Drosophila melanogaster: one gene and its partner. The protein of the gene in region 2 interacts with the protein of the main gene of each other region in a pairwise test. Each region holds a gene or a part of one and is shown on either strand. Other genes may lie near its edges.

What was found.
Region 1: the proteins of CG3719 (region 2) and CG3065 interact in a two-hybrid assay, tested with the Drosophila melanogaster proteins (one large-scale study listed by BioGRID).

What each region holds. Positions count from the first base shown.
Region 1 is NT_033778.4:23,967,258-23,974,853, reverse strand, and holds CG3065 (uncharacterized protein), read right to left. Parts: upstream 4,550-7,596; 5' UTR 4,160-4,549; coding exon 2,957-4,159; 3' UTR 2,621-2,956; downstream 1-2,620. Other genes in the region: mr (morula), read right to left, coding at 1-12, 78-341, 393-1,094, 1,154-1,334, 1,410-1,648, 1,705-2,221, 2,283-2,345; CG10904 (uncharacterized protein), read left to right, coding at 4,848-5,258, 5,322-5,711; or (orange), read right to left, coding at 6,077-6,288, 6,346-6,548, 6,610-6,701, 6,766-6,834; CG34213 (uncharacterized protein), read left to right, coding at 7,162-7,196, 7,248-7,338, 7,392-7,596.
Region 2 is NC_004354.4:1,377,135-1,384,293, reverse strand, and holds CG3719 (uncharacterized protein), read left to right. Parts: upstream 1-3,813; 5' UTR 3,814-3,970; coding exon 3,971-4,156; intron 4,157-4,921; coding exon 4,922-5,218; 3' UTR 5,219-5,409; downstream 5,410-7,159. Other genes in the region: AMPKalpha (AMP-activated protein kinase alpha subunit), read right to left, coding at 6,129-7,159.

The DNA.
Region 1 (7,596 bases), on a different chromosome or scaffold from region 2:
TAGTCCATTCATCTGAAAAAAAAATATGACCATGCGGTTGTAAAACTGTAAAACTTGACTGCCCTGTAAACACGTACTCTTAGTTTGAAAGTGGTATATAATAACCGCCAAAATGGGGCTCACAACCATTTCCATGGTCCGGTCACCGATCTCGATTTCAATATTTACACGGCCAGTCACTGTACGCCAGTTGAGCGTACGGTTGCCCTTGTATGCCTCGTAGGCCTTGGTGTACTTCTTGAACTCATTCTCAATCTCCTCAGGAAGTTGGAGGCTTTCTTTATTGAAGGACGGCCAAAACTGAGCAGAAACAATCAGCGAGGAGATGTCGAACAACTGATCTAAAATGAGATGGTTTCGTTAAAGCATTTTGAAAATTAAAAGTAACTCACTTTCAGTTCGGTCGCCATCGCTGTGGATGTGCGCGTTAATTCGCTTGGAGTCGGTTACGTCTTTCAACATCACCTCGCAGCTGTGCAGCAGCGATTCGCCAAAGCGGATTTTCAGCAGTTCCAGATTTCGAATTTCTTTTTCGGAATTAAAATCTAACTGGGCCAGCAGTCTGTCCGCCATTAGATTGCGATACTCTGTCATAAACAACTCCTTACTGCCGTATATGTCTACAACCATCGATATAATGTCGGCCGATCTCATCTTCCGCGAGCTGTTGTACTGCATAATGCTGGCATCTATACCAAACGGATCGGGTTGCCAATTTTCCCAGTTGCTGAACTCATCGGTACCCGAGTCCTTGCATTCCTTAATTGTTTCTCCCTTGGCGAGTTCCTCGGATAAGTCCGTGGGCCCCTCTTCAGTCAACCCAGTGACTACGCGTCGCACTGTGTCGTTTCGTTTCCGCAGGTAATCTTTGATTGGAGCAGTTACCATCTCTAAGATGACTCCGGTACTATCCAGATGGCGAATAGCTTTGATGGCTGCCACGTAACCCGTTAATATGTCCATGGTGTTGACTCCAGGATGCAGAATCCTTGCCTCTAGCGAGTTCCTAAGGGATTCAGTGAGGTAGACTCGCATATCTATTTTCTCCATGCAAATCTTTAAGTCATCTATAGCCGGAATGGAATCGGGATAGTCTGTTTACAAATAAATACATGTAGTTGGGGGACTCTTGGCTGAATCTACGGGCACATACCAATTATAATGCTGAAGAACTGACCAATAACGCTTTGGGCAAACGTTTCGTACATAAAGTAAGTCAGTTTGACTTTGAAGGATTTTACAGACTCGGGAACTTCGATATCGCTTATGCTATCCTTAGACTTCCATTCCGTGAATATGTTTGTGAGCCAGGACATTATGACATCCGATAGCCACTGCAAAGGTAGGTAATAAATGAGTTACTTAAGTAGTTTATTTATGACAACAGAAGGTATTCCCATTCAACTTACAGTTTCCAGTTGCTTAAGATGACTTCTGTCGAAGATTCCCATGCATGTATCGCTGATGTGCTCCTTGATTTTAAGCTTGATGAGAGCGGTTAAAGCACTCCCAGTTAGACGGTCAATGAGGTTCATCTCGAAGAGCTTCATGTTTGTCTTGTTAACCATATCCGTCAGCCTTTGGCAGCAGCATTGCTCTGCTTCGAAGTTGCAGCCAACGCAGAGGAGCTCATCGAAAACATCAGAGTCTGAAGGGGAAAGCAAGTGAGCATGGGAACCACAGGAGTATGTATCGGATACATACCAACTGTGGTCAATGCGAGATTTGAGGCCTTGGTGAAGAGCTTAAAGTGCACCCAGTAGAAGGCCCCAACGACCACACTGAAATTGGGTGGCAGTTGAGCCAGCAAGCAGTCCCTTAAGCAGTTCTTAATGCCTTCCTCCTGCATGAGCTTCACCGTCTTTGCGGTGGGCTTTGTCTCAGCTCCAACTAGCTGGATCAGCCTGGGCTTCACCTGCATCAGGCTCTGAAAGCTGTCATGCAGCTCATTGATGGCGTCGATGAACTGGGTGAACAGTCCGTTCTTATCGGGCAGTGCTTCTATGGCCAGAGCTTGGTCGTTAATCCAGCCCTGCAATTTAGACGAGACCAAGCCGTCGTGGATGTGCTTCCAGAACTTGGGCACCAGGACATTCCGAATAGTCGACTGGATTTCCAGGTCCACAACCGCCGCGAAGGTGTCTATGCTGCCCAACACCATCAGGTGCTGGCGAACATTTTGGAATACATTCTCCTCAACCGGATCATTGGATACAGCGTTCTGTAAGAGTTTCTGAGTGCTAGCGCCAATCCCTATTACTGAACCGAAGGAATAAACCTACCGCTCCACCCAAAACCGGAAAGATTCTCAGTACATCCGCCCACAAAGCGTCAAAGTCGCACATCGCTTGTGTGTAATTATTTTAAACAGTGCAAAACATTGCTTGAAACTCTGAATCAAACGCCAATGGTGATGATAATGCTGTTATCGATAAGTCGATTCTATCAACCGAACCGATAGTCGATGAATCTTTGATTTATCAGAAATTATACATATATCTATTATTCATTCTTATAGGCCATTATTAATCATATTCCAAATTTCAAACTGGATCGAGTCCTGATCCTGATGAACTATCAGTTCCCCATCAATTAGCCCATAAATATAAATAACAGTTTTACTAAAATAAATTATATTAATAGATACGGGGAGCTTAGTAGCCAGAAAATAAGAAACAGCAAGAGTTTCAGAAATACAGATGTATGTCTTCACGTTCCGGCAAACACAAACAGTTAGAGCTAAAATTAAATTGCATACGACTTATTTACATACATACATACAAATTGAGATTTGAGAGCCGGCGCTGATCTTGCATAGGAATATAGTTAGATTGCGAATTTATTTAATTTTATTGTACTGTGTGCGTCACCCGACACACGCCCGTGTGGTAGCCAATATCGATTGGATGCGGATGCCAATGGCTAGCGACTTAAGGAGTAAGGAGTAACTATGAAACTATCGTATCTTCAAATGCGTCTGCTGATGCTTTTTCAAGTGGTCGCTCCGCACAAACCGGCGACAGCACTGCTGACAGGCGTAGGGCTTCTCCCCGGTGTGCGTTCGTATGTGTCGGTTGAGGTCGTCCTGCCGCTTGAACCGCTTCTCACACTGCCGGCAGTAGAAAGGCCGATCCTGAACGAACTGGGGCATCCCATACGTGCCGGGTCCGTCCGCCGGCGGTAGCTGAGAGAGGGTATTTACAATTTCTTCGGTCGGTTCGTATTTTACCTCGGGCTTCGCCTGGTTAAGGAAATCGGGCAACTGGCTCTGGTTGTGGCCATGGTTATCCATCTGGTGTTCAGGAGATACGATCTGGTACTTGTCGCTGTGCTCCGGCCGTTCCAGCTTAATCTTTATCGGCTTGTGGTGGATGTCGATAATGCTCACGGGCTGCTGGTGCTGGTTATGCTGCTGCTGCTGGTGGTGGTGCTTCATGCTCGGCTCCCCGCAACCAACCATGGCGGCCATGAAGTGGAAGCCCGAGTCCGACTCCGAATGAATCTGCTTCTTCGGGGGCTTGAGCCGGACTCCACCACTGCTGCTCGGTACTGTTCGCTTCGGGGTGCTGCCCTTTAGCTGGCGGTCGTGGGTAGCTAGGTGCTTGGTGAGGTGGTCGCTGCGGGAAAACTTCTTGGTGCACTGGATGCACTCGAAGGGCTTCTCGCCGGTGTGCGTCCGGAGGTGCCGGTTGAGCTCATCGGAGCGCGTGAATCCCTTGCCGCACTTGGGCTCGCTGCAGACGAAGGGCTTGATGCCCGTGTGCCAGGTGAGGTGGGACCGCAGGTGGGAGCTCTTGCCGTAGCTCTTTGTACAGTTGTCATACGGGCAGACGAACTTGCGCTTGGGATCGGAGGCGAGCGTCGTGGCCATTAGCTTCACACTGGGCATTATGCGGATCTTAGAGTTGCCGTTCCCGCCGTAGTGCGAGTCGTCCTCAGGCTCAGTCTCAACTCCGTGATGGGGCACATTCTCCACATTCGCCTCGTCGTGCTTGACGTCCTCGAAAATCGTCGAGGCCCGCAGTATCATATCGGACGCCTGCTCGTGTATGTTTGCGCCGCTCATCGTGGGAAACGCTGGTGGTGGTTTCATGGGTTCTATGGGCGTTGATGTCGTCAGCATTTGGGGTGTGGGCGTGTTTGGTATTACTTGTGACATTGTGCTTACGTTTGGGGCTCGCTAGCGCCCTATCCGGTATGTCTGGAATCGAGAGTGGAGGTACTTTACTGCCAGCTGCGCGCCTACCGCTCCCTAATTACCAAAATTGCGTTTATCCAAAACTACACTCCTGTACAGGAAACTGTGTTCAGTGGGCGTCGGCCTAGGATTTATCAGTTCTGTGGTCCCTTGTCACCATAGCCAGCTCGGAAAACGGTCTATAGTCGGTCCTGGCGTCCCGCACACATTTTCCAATTGTTTTCGGCTAGCGCGCTTGCATATTCCAGCGGATTTGCTTATTTTACTTTATTTTATTTATATACTGAAGTATATCCATTTAATTGCGATGAGAATTATCGACTAGTCGATAGGACCAAGAGATGCGACTGAATGCGTGTACGGAGATATCGGATTTCAATGTTGTATTTATTGATTGCTATTAGTTTAGCACAGTTAAATATCTAAAACTAAATGTGTAGTTAACATTAAGAAATCAATATAAAGCGCAATGGAATTACATTTTGTTTGATAGATCATAAAACTATTCATCGTTTCTTTTTTTTTTCAAAAAGTACTAAAAAAAAATACTGCGTTGCTGTTTACTTTCGATAGTTCAGACTCGCCCATCCCAAATGTGCACTGCAATAAGATTCGATGCATATTGACATATTGTTGTTAGTTTGCTGAGATGCCAAATAAATCCGAGGAGCTGGGCGAAACGCAACTGACCAAAAGACAGAGGAGGAAGCAGACGATCTGGACGCGGGAGAAGATCGCCAAGCTAATCGAACTTTACCGCTCGTCGGACTGCTTGTGGAACCACTATTCCGAGCTATATAAAAACAAGGATTGCAGGGCTAAAGCCATCGAATCCATCTGCGCTTCGCTTGAAATAACGAAACACGACTATGGCAAGAAGGTGCACAACCTGCGCAATCAATTCAATGCAGAGCTCAAGAAGTTGGAGAGGAGGCTCGAGGAGTCTGGAGGAGATCGAGATTCGGAGAAGGCTTGTCGATGGGAGCACTTCAAGACGTTGATGTTCCTACGATCTGTTATAGAACCACGACCAGGCTATCAACAAGGTGCTCCGGGCAAGGTGGGCTCCTTAAATCGAAATCTTTAGCCCATAAGTTAACCAATCTATCCTGGTTTTTGGTAGAAATTGGTATCGAAGCTGGACATGTGCTACCCGGATCAGGATGTGGAAAAGCAGAGCCAATCCTCGATAGAAAGTCTGGAATCCATGATCATAGAGAACGATGCAGAAATCTGTCAGCCTCCGAAGGTCAGCGAACCCATTCCTCCGATGCCTCCTGAACCTGCGCCGTCTTCCAAATTCGTTGATCCAAATCGAACTGTCGAAGCTCCAGCTGCTCCCTCTCCCTTCCACTTACCATTAAGTGGTCGTGATCAATGGGACGCATTTGGCGAACTAATCGCCAGTGAATTCCGTAACCTGAACTCTGAAGTTTCGCGCAAGAGGCTGAAGCGGAAAATAATGCAAGTTATGCTGGAAGTCGGCGAAGAAGATGATCTTACAAACAGTTGATTGTAGAATTATGAACATGTTTAATACAGCGGACACCGTTTTAGGTATAAATCTTTAATATATGCAGCACACAGATCATGCGAATACGTCATCGCAAGACACTTTGTATGTACATTTTAAACCCCATTCGATATAGAACGGAAGTGGTTGAACTTCGCATTGTTAAGCTATCAAAATCGTAAGGCTCGTTCTCGCTACTGGTAATTCATTTGCATTTTTATTATGGTAGGGGAGTTATATAGAGTACGTGGGACCTAATATTACGGAACAGTCGACAGCTGTTGGAAATTCATGAAGGACTGCGAAAAAGCACTAGATTCAACAGATTACAATTAGACGAGAGAGTTATATCAGACGCACATTTGTCAGAACTTAAAGTCCTTAATGGCCTGCGGCAGATCAGGTAGCTTGATGTCTTTAATCTGTTGCGGAATGTTCATACTCTTCACGGCGCTCACAGCTCGGGCAGGTGCAGCCGAGATGCCCGCTTCCTGCTTGACGATCTTGTTCTGCTCCTCGATCCTGGCCATTATGTCGTTCATATTTGTCTGCAGGACCATTCCGCCCATTACCAGTTCTGAAACGAATTCATGATAGCTGAATCTGAATGGATTGCCAAAGTAGCTTTCCCAACCTGAGAGGATGTGGTGGACGGCATCGGCGTGGAATATCAGGTCCAGCTCACACACGTTTTCGAAGCACTTGTCGAGGGTTTCCACGAACACCTGAATCAGGTCCAGGATTCCCAGTTCGCTCTCCGAGGAGTCCACGCAGAAAACGAAGTACAGCGTGGCATAGTGTCTGTAGATGAGTTTGTAATCCGATCCGCCAATCAAACTGTTGGAGGAAAGAGGTGCTTTAAGATATTCCAGGAATTTGCGGGAACAATATTGCTCACCTTCCGCCCTCCAGAAAGTTGCAAACATTATCGTCCCGCTTGGACACCAATTGGAAAGTCTCTTTGATTATTTGTTGCTGCAGGCTTTCATCCTACAAATGATAGTGACAATTTATTATGAACTAGATTATATGGATTATATGTCGCAGTACTTACGAAATACTGATAGAACTTCGATAGCCGCGGCTTCCCGTGATTGTTAAAAACGAGAATGGCTTTTATCATCTCAACTTCTAAGATAAGTCAACAAAAAAAATGAAAATGTTTAAACTGCCAGCTGTTTTGCTTTTTCGACGAGGGCTGCAAAATCAATACTTGGTATAGCATCTATAATATCGATATATCTTTATCTGACGTATTTATTTCAAAAATCTAATAAGAATCATGCATATTTTAGAAAGTTAGGGAAAATATATTTTTTAAAGCAATTTCTTAAATCGGGTGTTAAAAATCCGTACAAAAAAAAATTCTATGGATTTCTGATTGTTGCCCATCTCTAATGCCTTTAACCTCGCGGTCTCCGATTTGTTTATTTCTTATTTTTATTGAATTATGAATATTTTGACAAAAGTAAAATACAGCTGCAGGTACTCTGGGTTTTATTTTGTAACTCCCTTTAGTTAACGTATAGTTTGCAGGGTGAGCTCGGTTTTAAACAGAGATGTGAAGCAGCACGGAAAGCAATTCATGTTTGATACGCGGGAAGAAACTTCTTGGAATTCAGATGAGGTATCATCCTAAGATTTGGAAAAAAAGAATATAACTCCAAACGGCCATTTCAGGGAACCCCCCAATTCATTACCATTAGCTTGGAGGAGCCACAGAAAGTAGCTGGATTTAGTTTCCAGTTCCAAGGCGGATTCTCTGGCCAAAAATCCGAACTGATCATGTACTCCGCTGACGGAGCCCAAGTTCACCAAGAGCCATTCTACCCAGAAGATATCAACTCCCCACAGCTTTTTCAGATTGCGGAATCAGTCCGGGAAA
Region 2 (7,159 bases):
TCCCGTTCTCGCCTTCGAGTATCTGTATCCGCGTCCGAGTCTGTCTGCGTCTGTATCTGTATCTCTAGCTATGCCTGCGCGTCTGTCCAAGAGAAAGAGAAAGAGCGGAGCTTCGGGAAAACGAATTTACATTGCGCACAGCCACAGCCACATCCACAGCCAGAGGCAAGTGAAAAGCAGCGGCAGCAGATCAACGGGCCAACGGGAAAAGCAGGGATAAGCAGGCCTGGCATGGATGGCGCATCTTTGGGATCTTGGTATCCACGGAATACGCAGTCCGAATACGTTTTTCAAACAACCCGTTTTTGGTCCAACCTAGCTACCTACAGGTTAGCTAAACTGGAGTTTCGGGCTTGGGTACCAGGATATCTTTTCAGTATCGTATTTAGTTAGCTTTTGTACTGCGTCTCAATGAAAAGGGAGTGCAGAAGAAGTTGGTTAGTAGAATAGAGTCAGATCTTTTTGCCCGTTCTAACTTGAGCGCTTGAAGACAACACACCTGCGAAGGACCGCCAGCCGAGGAGCTCAATCCGCATGCCGAGTGCGCTGTGCCGTGATGGGAACCAATCTCATCCAACCCGACCTGATCTGATCTGAGTAGGCAACTGTACTTGGCATCTCACAACTTGGCAGCTGAAAAGTATTTTCGACTTTAAAAATAGCTGCCCCAAAGTCCCACCGCGCGCGGTGCAGGCAGGGGGGAGCGGGAAAAGCGAGAGAGGGATCGGTTTGGATCGCTTTGGTTTGGTTTTCGGCTTTTGGCTTTTGGCTAGAAGCGGTGGGCGGATCGGGCGCGTTGTGCGGGCTGCCTAACAGATGCCTTCGTTTACAAATAGCCGCTGTTTAAGCTCTCTCGCCGCTGATGAAAATTGATGGGTGCGAGCGCACGGAAAACCATATTCCACTTTCGATTTCCCATTTTCCATTTCGGCGTTCCGCCCGTTCCCCGTCTTCCCAGTGGGCACGGACACGCTGGTGTGCGTGAGCTTTTGGAAACTCGAGACTAATGAGGTCGGCCACGTAGCCTCCCCCGCCTTCTTGCTCTGCTCCCCATGCCCCCTCCGCGACTTCCCTGCGCGGACGAAGTGCCCAATGGCATCCTTGAGCTGGCCTCTGCCACACCTGGCAAGATCAATTGCGACCTCAACTTCAGTTGTCCAATCGGAGTTCCGAGGACCGTTTGCCTGGGTCCGGCTGGGCTGCCAGAGGAGCCAATGGCCCCGGCCCGAAAGGAGACTGCCATGGGCCGGTCTTTGGAGGCAAATGCGTTGCGTTGGCAGCGTTTCTTGGCACCCAGTCGCCTCACCCTTCGCGCCTGACGCTGCGATTTGAGTTCAAATTTATTTTTGGCAGCATCGCCGCACCATCGTCCCCCTTGCCGCTCATCCTCTGCTCCGCTTTTTTCCGTTTTTCCGGGACTCAGGAGGCTGAGAAAGGGGGAGGCGTCGGATCGGGATCGGAATAGGAATAGGAATTGGGTTCAGAGGCCCGATCGCTTGGCTCCACCTCTGCCTGGTTGGCTCTGTTTGCGTTGCTTTATCTAGTTCTGGGGTGTGAGTGCGTGCCTGTGTTTAATATAGGCTTCCGCCCCTCCCCTGCCCTACTGGTTGTTTGTGTAATCCATTTAAAGGTAATTGAACTTCCCTCCCCACCTTCTGCAGGCACACAGCCCATCCCGACGCACTAAGCCGAAGTCGAAGTCGGGGCTCTATATTTAGCCAGTGGCGCAGTGGCATGGCCTGGCATGGGGCTGGAAATGCAGTCGGGAAAGCGGAGTGGGCACCGCCATCCAGGCACCAAGTGAACCTGCTCAAGACGAGCCCAAAATTAGATTCCACGGGGCGCTGCGCTGCTACTCGAAGTCGTGCCACGGCGATCTGGATGCGGATATAGATCACTGAAGATCAGATCAAATCGGATCGATTTGGATGGGATCGGATCGGATTGGATGCGATCAGATCAGATCGCAGCACATAGAAAATCGGCGATCGTAGTGGGAACTTGGAGAATGAGAAACGTTTCATTTTTGAAGCACACTTGGAAAAATGAGACGTTTGCTGGGCGAGCTATTGCTATTTTTAGGCAAAGGCATCACCATAAAAGTTGCCCCGCTCCCCTTTCCGTGCTCCAGCTTTTCCCATTTTCGTTTGTAGTTTTCCAATATTTCTCGAGGAACTGTTTTCGAATTAATCGAACAAGGCGAGTAGGCGCATAGAGTTATATAGAAGTTATAGAATATACATATGGGGCTGGTATAAAGTTAAGAGCTGCAGACTCACTTTCAAACAAAAAGCTTCGAATGGCAGTAACACATTCATTATGAATAACATACATACATATGTACATACATAGATATTGGCGAAGAAATACTTCGAAACTGTGTCTTTGGATCAGAAATTCATTTTCCTGTTTACCCCTCCTCCGCTCCACTCCTTTCGGTGGAATTTCATCATCGGCTTCGGTTCACCGTCAATCGATAACAGTTAAATCGAGAAAAGCGGAAAACAAAACACAAATAACAATAAACGTGCTTCGGCAGAAGGAAAGAGAAGAAAGAAAACTACGACACAATCAAGCGAGAGCTTTTCTTGAAGGATAAAGCTTTGGGCTGAGTGCGCACGTGTCTGATGTGTGAGTATGAGTGTGTGTGTGTGAGTGTGTGTGTGGAAAACGTGTGTTGATGACATAAATGCGAAATAAGAAGAAGGAAGACAAGAAGGCGCAAACAGCTGTGCCAAGGAATCCCTGCTTCCTGAAACAAGTAACGCCCGGGGGAGGGTGTGACTCGAAACGAATCCAATCCCGACACCAAAACCGCGTTTTCGATTTCCAAGCGCGCGCTCCTGGGGTGGAAAACGCGCACTCTCACACGCGACGGTCACAAGCACAAACACACAAACACACACACCTAAAGAGGAGAGAAAAGGAACAGAGCTTAAAACTTCAATTGGAATCTTGGACTGCGAATTTACTCCCGTCGCATCCTGACCGCATGAAACGCAACAACCTCGGCACCTCCACAGTGTTTTTCCAACATCACTTTTCCGCGCATATGCTCTGAGATTGACTTTCAACCTGTGCGCTTGTTTTCGAGTGGGTCGCACCAACATTAATAGTAATAGTTACACTGGCAGTGGCAGGACACTCGTGGCCGTTTCTCGACTTACCGCCCCCTGACCCGGAACTAAACAAAAAGTAGAAAAAAAAAGGAGCACTGCTCCGCACCGCACGCTCCGCGACCGATTTCAAATAACAATAAAATCGGCACGGCAAACAACAACGCAACGCAACACGACGCAACGGCAACGGCAACAACAACACTCTGCTTTCGGCGGCAACGCTGCTGAAACGGGCGAAGCGAACGCGCGACGTCAAATGTCAGATTTTGTTGTTGCGAGCAGCGAAATTCCCGTGCCAGAGAGCGTGAAAAGAGAGGGGAGAGCAGGGCGCCAAATTCAAACGGTTGGGCTCATCTGCTTCGAGTACGGAGTGCCGTTGCTGGAAACGTTCTTCGCTGCAGAAGACAGGGATAACGTTCAGGCACAGGGATAAAAATAAACATTATTTAAGGCAAGGAATTGGAATAGACGCAAAGCTCACCACATGACATACTCACATACAAAGTTGAAGAATAAGATAAGATACGCTTACACTGGATCCCTGGCGCGCAAATAATCCTCTTATTAGCGCAATATTTTAACACAATTCGAGTCTTCGAACTGTCATACAAGAAAAGTTGATTTCCAAGTGGTTTCAGTGCCCGCGAGGTGGCAACGCCGAGCCAGTGGCAGTGTTGTGCAGCGCTGGCCCAGAGTTTATAAACAAACATTAAACGCATACACATCACGTACGGAACAACCAGTTGGACATCCGAGACCCTGCCAGATATCTAATCGCTGCGAGAGTGCCTGTGTTACGCATCCGAATCCGCATACCCATCCGCCCCCGTACTGAATTTCCGCAATCCGCAATGCTGAAGATCGCCGCCGAGGGAATCGCGCCACGTCTGGCGGCGGCCTGTTGCTCCATTGGAGCGAAGAGCAGAGGCCAAAGAATGGCGCCCCAGGCGGCCAGGGGCACCCAGAAGTACCTGTCGCAGTCGCAGCACCTCCACAAAATGCTGGTCATCAAAGACCACTACGAGTTCGATCAGAAGGTGAGTCAGGATTATGCAACGAAACGGGTTGCGATGGCCAGGAACGGCAGCAGGCAACGATGACCTTGTGCGCTGGCCTACGTGCTTGGGTTTGGGATACTTGGGAGGAGCAAGGGGTGCAGGCAGGGGAAGGGGACGAATCCACCCCATGACGTACTTGGCCGTGGACCCGTCCATAGATACAAACATATGTGTGCGCACACTCGCCTCAGTTCTGTTTTCAATTTTGTTTTCGGCCTGTGCTCGTGTATGCAAATGAGCCCCAAAACATTGGATACCGGTTTAAACCCCTTTCAGCCAGCCGCTGCGTCCGCGAAGAAACGGGAGCCAGCTGCAGAAGACCCTTCAGCATATCGCTCCATGGCCGAGTTATCAATTGCAGTTGGATTAGGCGAGATAAGAGAAACGTGAGTCACACACACACACACATTTTGTAGCCTCCCAAGTGACCACCCCGCAATCTCAGAGTAGACGGAATTTAAAACTACTAATATAGCAGACACTGGCTACAATTGTATGAATCACTCACTATATGAAAACTGCAGTATTCTGCCGCAAATCAATCTCGATAGTCACCCCGGCAGCCGCAGGTCCATCTCCCCTTTTTAGCTATGACGTTATGCCTATAAGTGGCATAATCTGGCATACTCGACGTTGTGGTGACGTTATGGGGATGACAATGAGGTGTTTTGTTAGTTCCGAGCAAAGCACTCCAATTTTAAAGTCTGTTCAACCACCACCTATGTATTATGCCTTGTTCCGCAGGTGATCAACAGCGACAACCCGGTGATCGTGAACTTCCACGCCGAGTGGTGCGACCCCTGTAAGATACTCACGCCCAAGATGCTCGAGCTGCTTGAGAACTCGAACGAGATCGACCTGGCGGTCATCGATGTGGAGACGAACCTGGATCTCGTCGAGACCTTCGAGGTGAAGGCCGTGCCCGCTGTTCTGGCCTTCAGGAACGGCGTCGTAGTGGACAAGTTCATTGGTCTGGTCGACGCCAACAGCATCGAGACCCTAATCGACAAACTGAAGCGGAAGCAACAGCAGAAGCAGTAGTGAGCTGGAGCGGCGATGCGATGCACAGGTGGATTAGATCAGGGATGCTATGATTTTACACACGAAACGGGAGACTGGAACTGCGATATGAAGCCCAATGCCGAGGCAGAATTTGCAATCATCGATGCTGAAAGAATGTGCACAACATACCTTAATATGCAATAAAACTAACTTTAATTATGGCTACTCTTAATTCACACTTCGTCCACAATCGATTTAGAATATTAATGGATCGCTTTATTGTTTGGTTGGTTCAGATACAGATACATAAAACTTGGTCCACATCTGGTTGTTATCTGACAGCTTCCCCAGACGAGGTTCCAATTACAATTCGTTAGGCATAATACAAATACATCCACGTGCACATGCGGTTTGGATAATAACTCAACTTGCTTATAAACATAAATCGAAATAGAAACAGAACAGAACAGAAACGGATCGAAGCCCGCCGACCGGGCGGAACCTACAGACTTAGACTAACCGGAAGCGGAAATCGATACGGCAAAGCGGGTAACGGTAGCGTAGCGGCAACGGCGGTTGGCGGTGTCCGAGTTCAATAACATTTTATGTGGATTACACAGCCGCACAAAGAAAAGCTGGAGTCGGAGTCCCAAGCTCTTGTTCGTCGTCTAGTAGCAGGCCATTTTTAAAATCTATTCCCAAATCCTGCTACCGATAATTGCACATTGGGTTTCCGATTAAAATCAAAAGGGTTTGGGACGAATGCAAGAACTTAGTCATGTGGTTAAGGCCAGACTCCGGGATCCGCGGAGCCCGAAACTCCCCCCAGCTTTCCTTTGTGGGACTGTGTCTTCCGGGTAATGGTCAATCCTCAGGACTGTCCGAGTGCGGATCGCCAGCCGAGAAGATCCCATCCGGTCCGCTGCGGCCGATGGCGGTCACCTCATCCTTAGCGAGCCAGTTGAATGATCAGGGCGGCGCACATTTCGAAAAACTCCATGGTGTGGTGGCCGGTCGGCTGCAGCGGCATCACCCCGGACACGCTAAGCGGCGGCGGAGTAAGGCTCTCCATGATGACGTCGTCGCCCTGCTCGACCTCGTCGTTGGTCAGCGACTTGAAGTCGAGCAGATAGCTCTTGGCGTCCACCTGGTACAGCTGCAGTGACATCTTCGAGAACTTGCCGGTCTTCACGTTCTGCCTGCGCACCCGAACGTGGTACGGATTGATGATCTTCCACTCGTAGCTGAGTGCCTTCATCGCTCGGTATACCTCGAGCATTATGTCGTTGGGCTTGCTCTGCGACCGGATGCCCAGATGCCACTTGGCGCGCTTGATGGGAGTGCCGCCACGTGCGGTTTTCTCCGGGAAGGCTCCGCCGCCAGATGTCTGCACGGACATGGCCAGTTGACGGTCCCGCATCGGCGCAATCCGCTCCGGATGCGGTCGAATGGGTATGGTGCTGCTAGGCGTGCCTCCAGCCACTGGTGGCACTGGTGTGGCGGTGCCCGAGCTGGCTGAGGTACCTCCGCCAACGGTCACGGTGGCCAGAGGGGCTTGGTGGTCCATCGATGATTGGGGAACGGGCGGAGGCGGCGGCGGTGGTGGAGAGCCGGCCACAAAGAAGTTGTTGATCTCGTTTATTTGGTTGGCCGCGTCGTCGGCGAAGCGTTTGTTGTCGATGATCAGATGGTAAGCGATGGCCAGCTGATCGTGCGGATCGCCGCTGAGCAGCGAGTTGTGCACCTCGGTCTCCTTGACGCCGAACTTGGTGCAGACCTCTGCCACAGCGTAGGTGTCGATCACATTGGAGTCCTGCTCGATGGACGAGGGGAAGAGGTAGGCCGGGAGGTCCTTTTGGAACCACTCGTGCTTCTTGATTTCCTCGATGTTGGCCCGCTTGAGCGGGTCCACTTGCAGCATCTGACAGACCAGATTGACCACTTGTTTGTTGAGGTACTCGGGAATGGGGAAAATGCCCG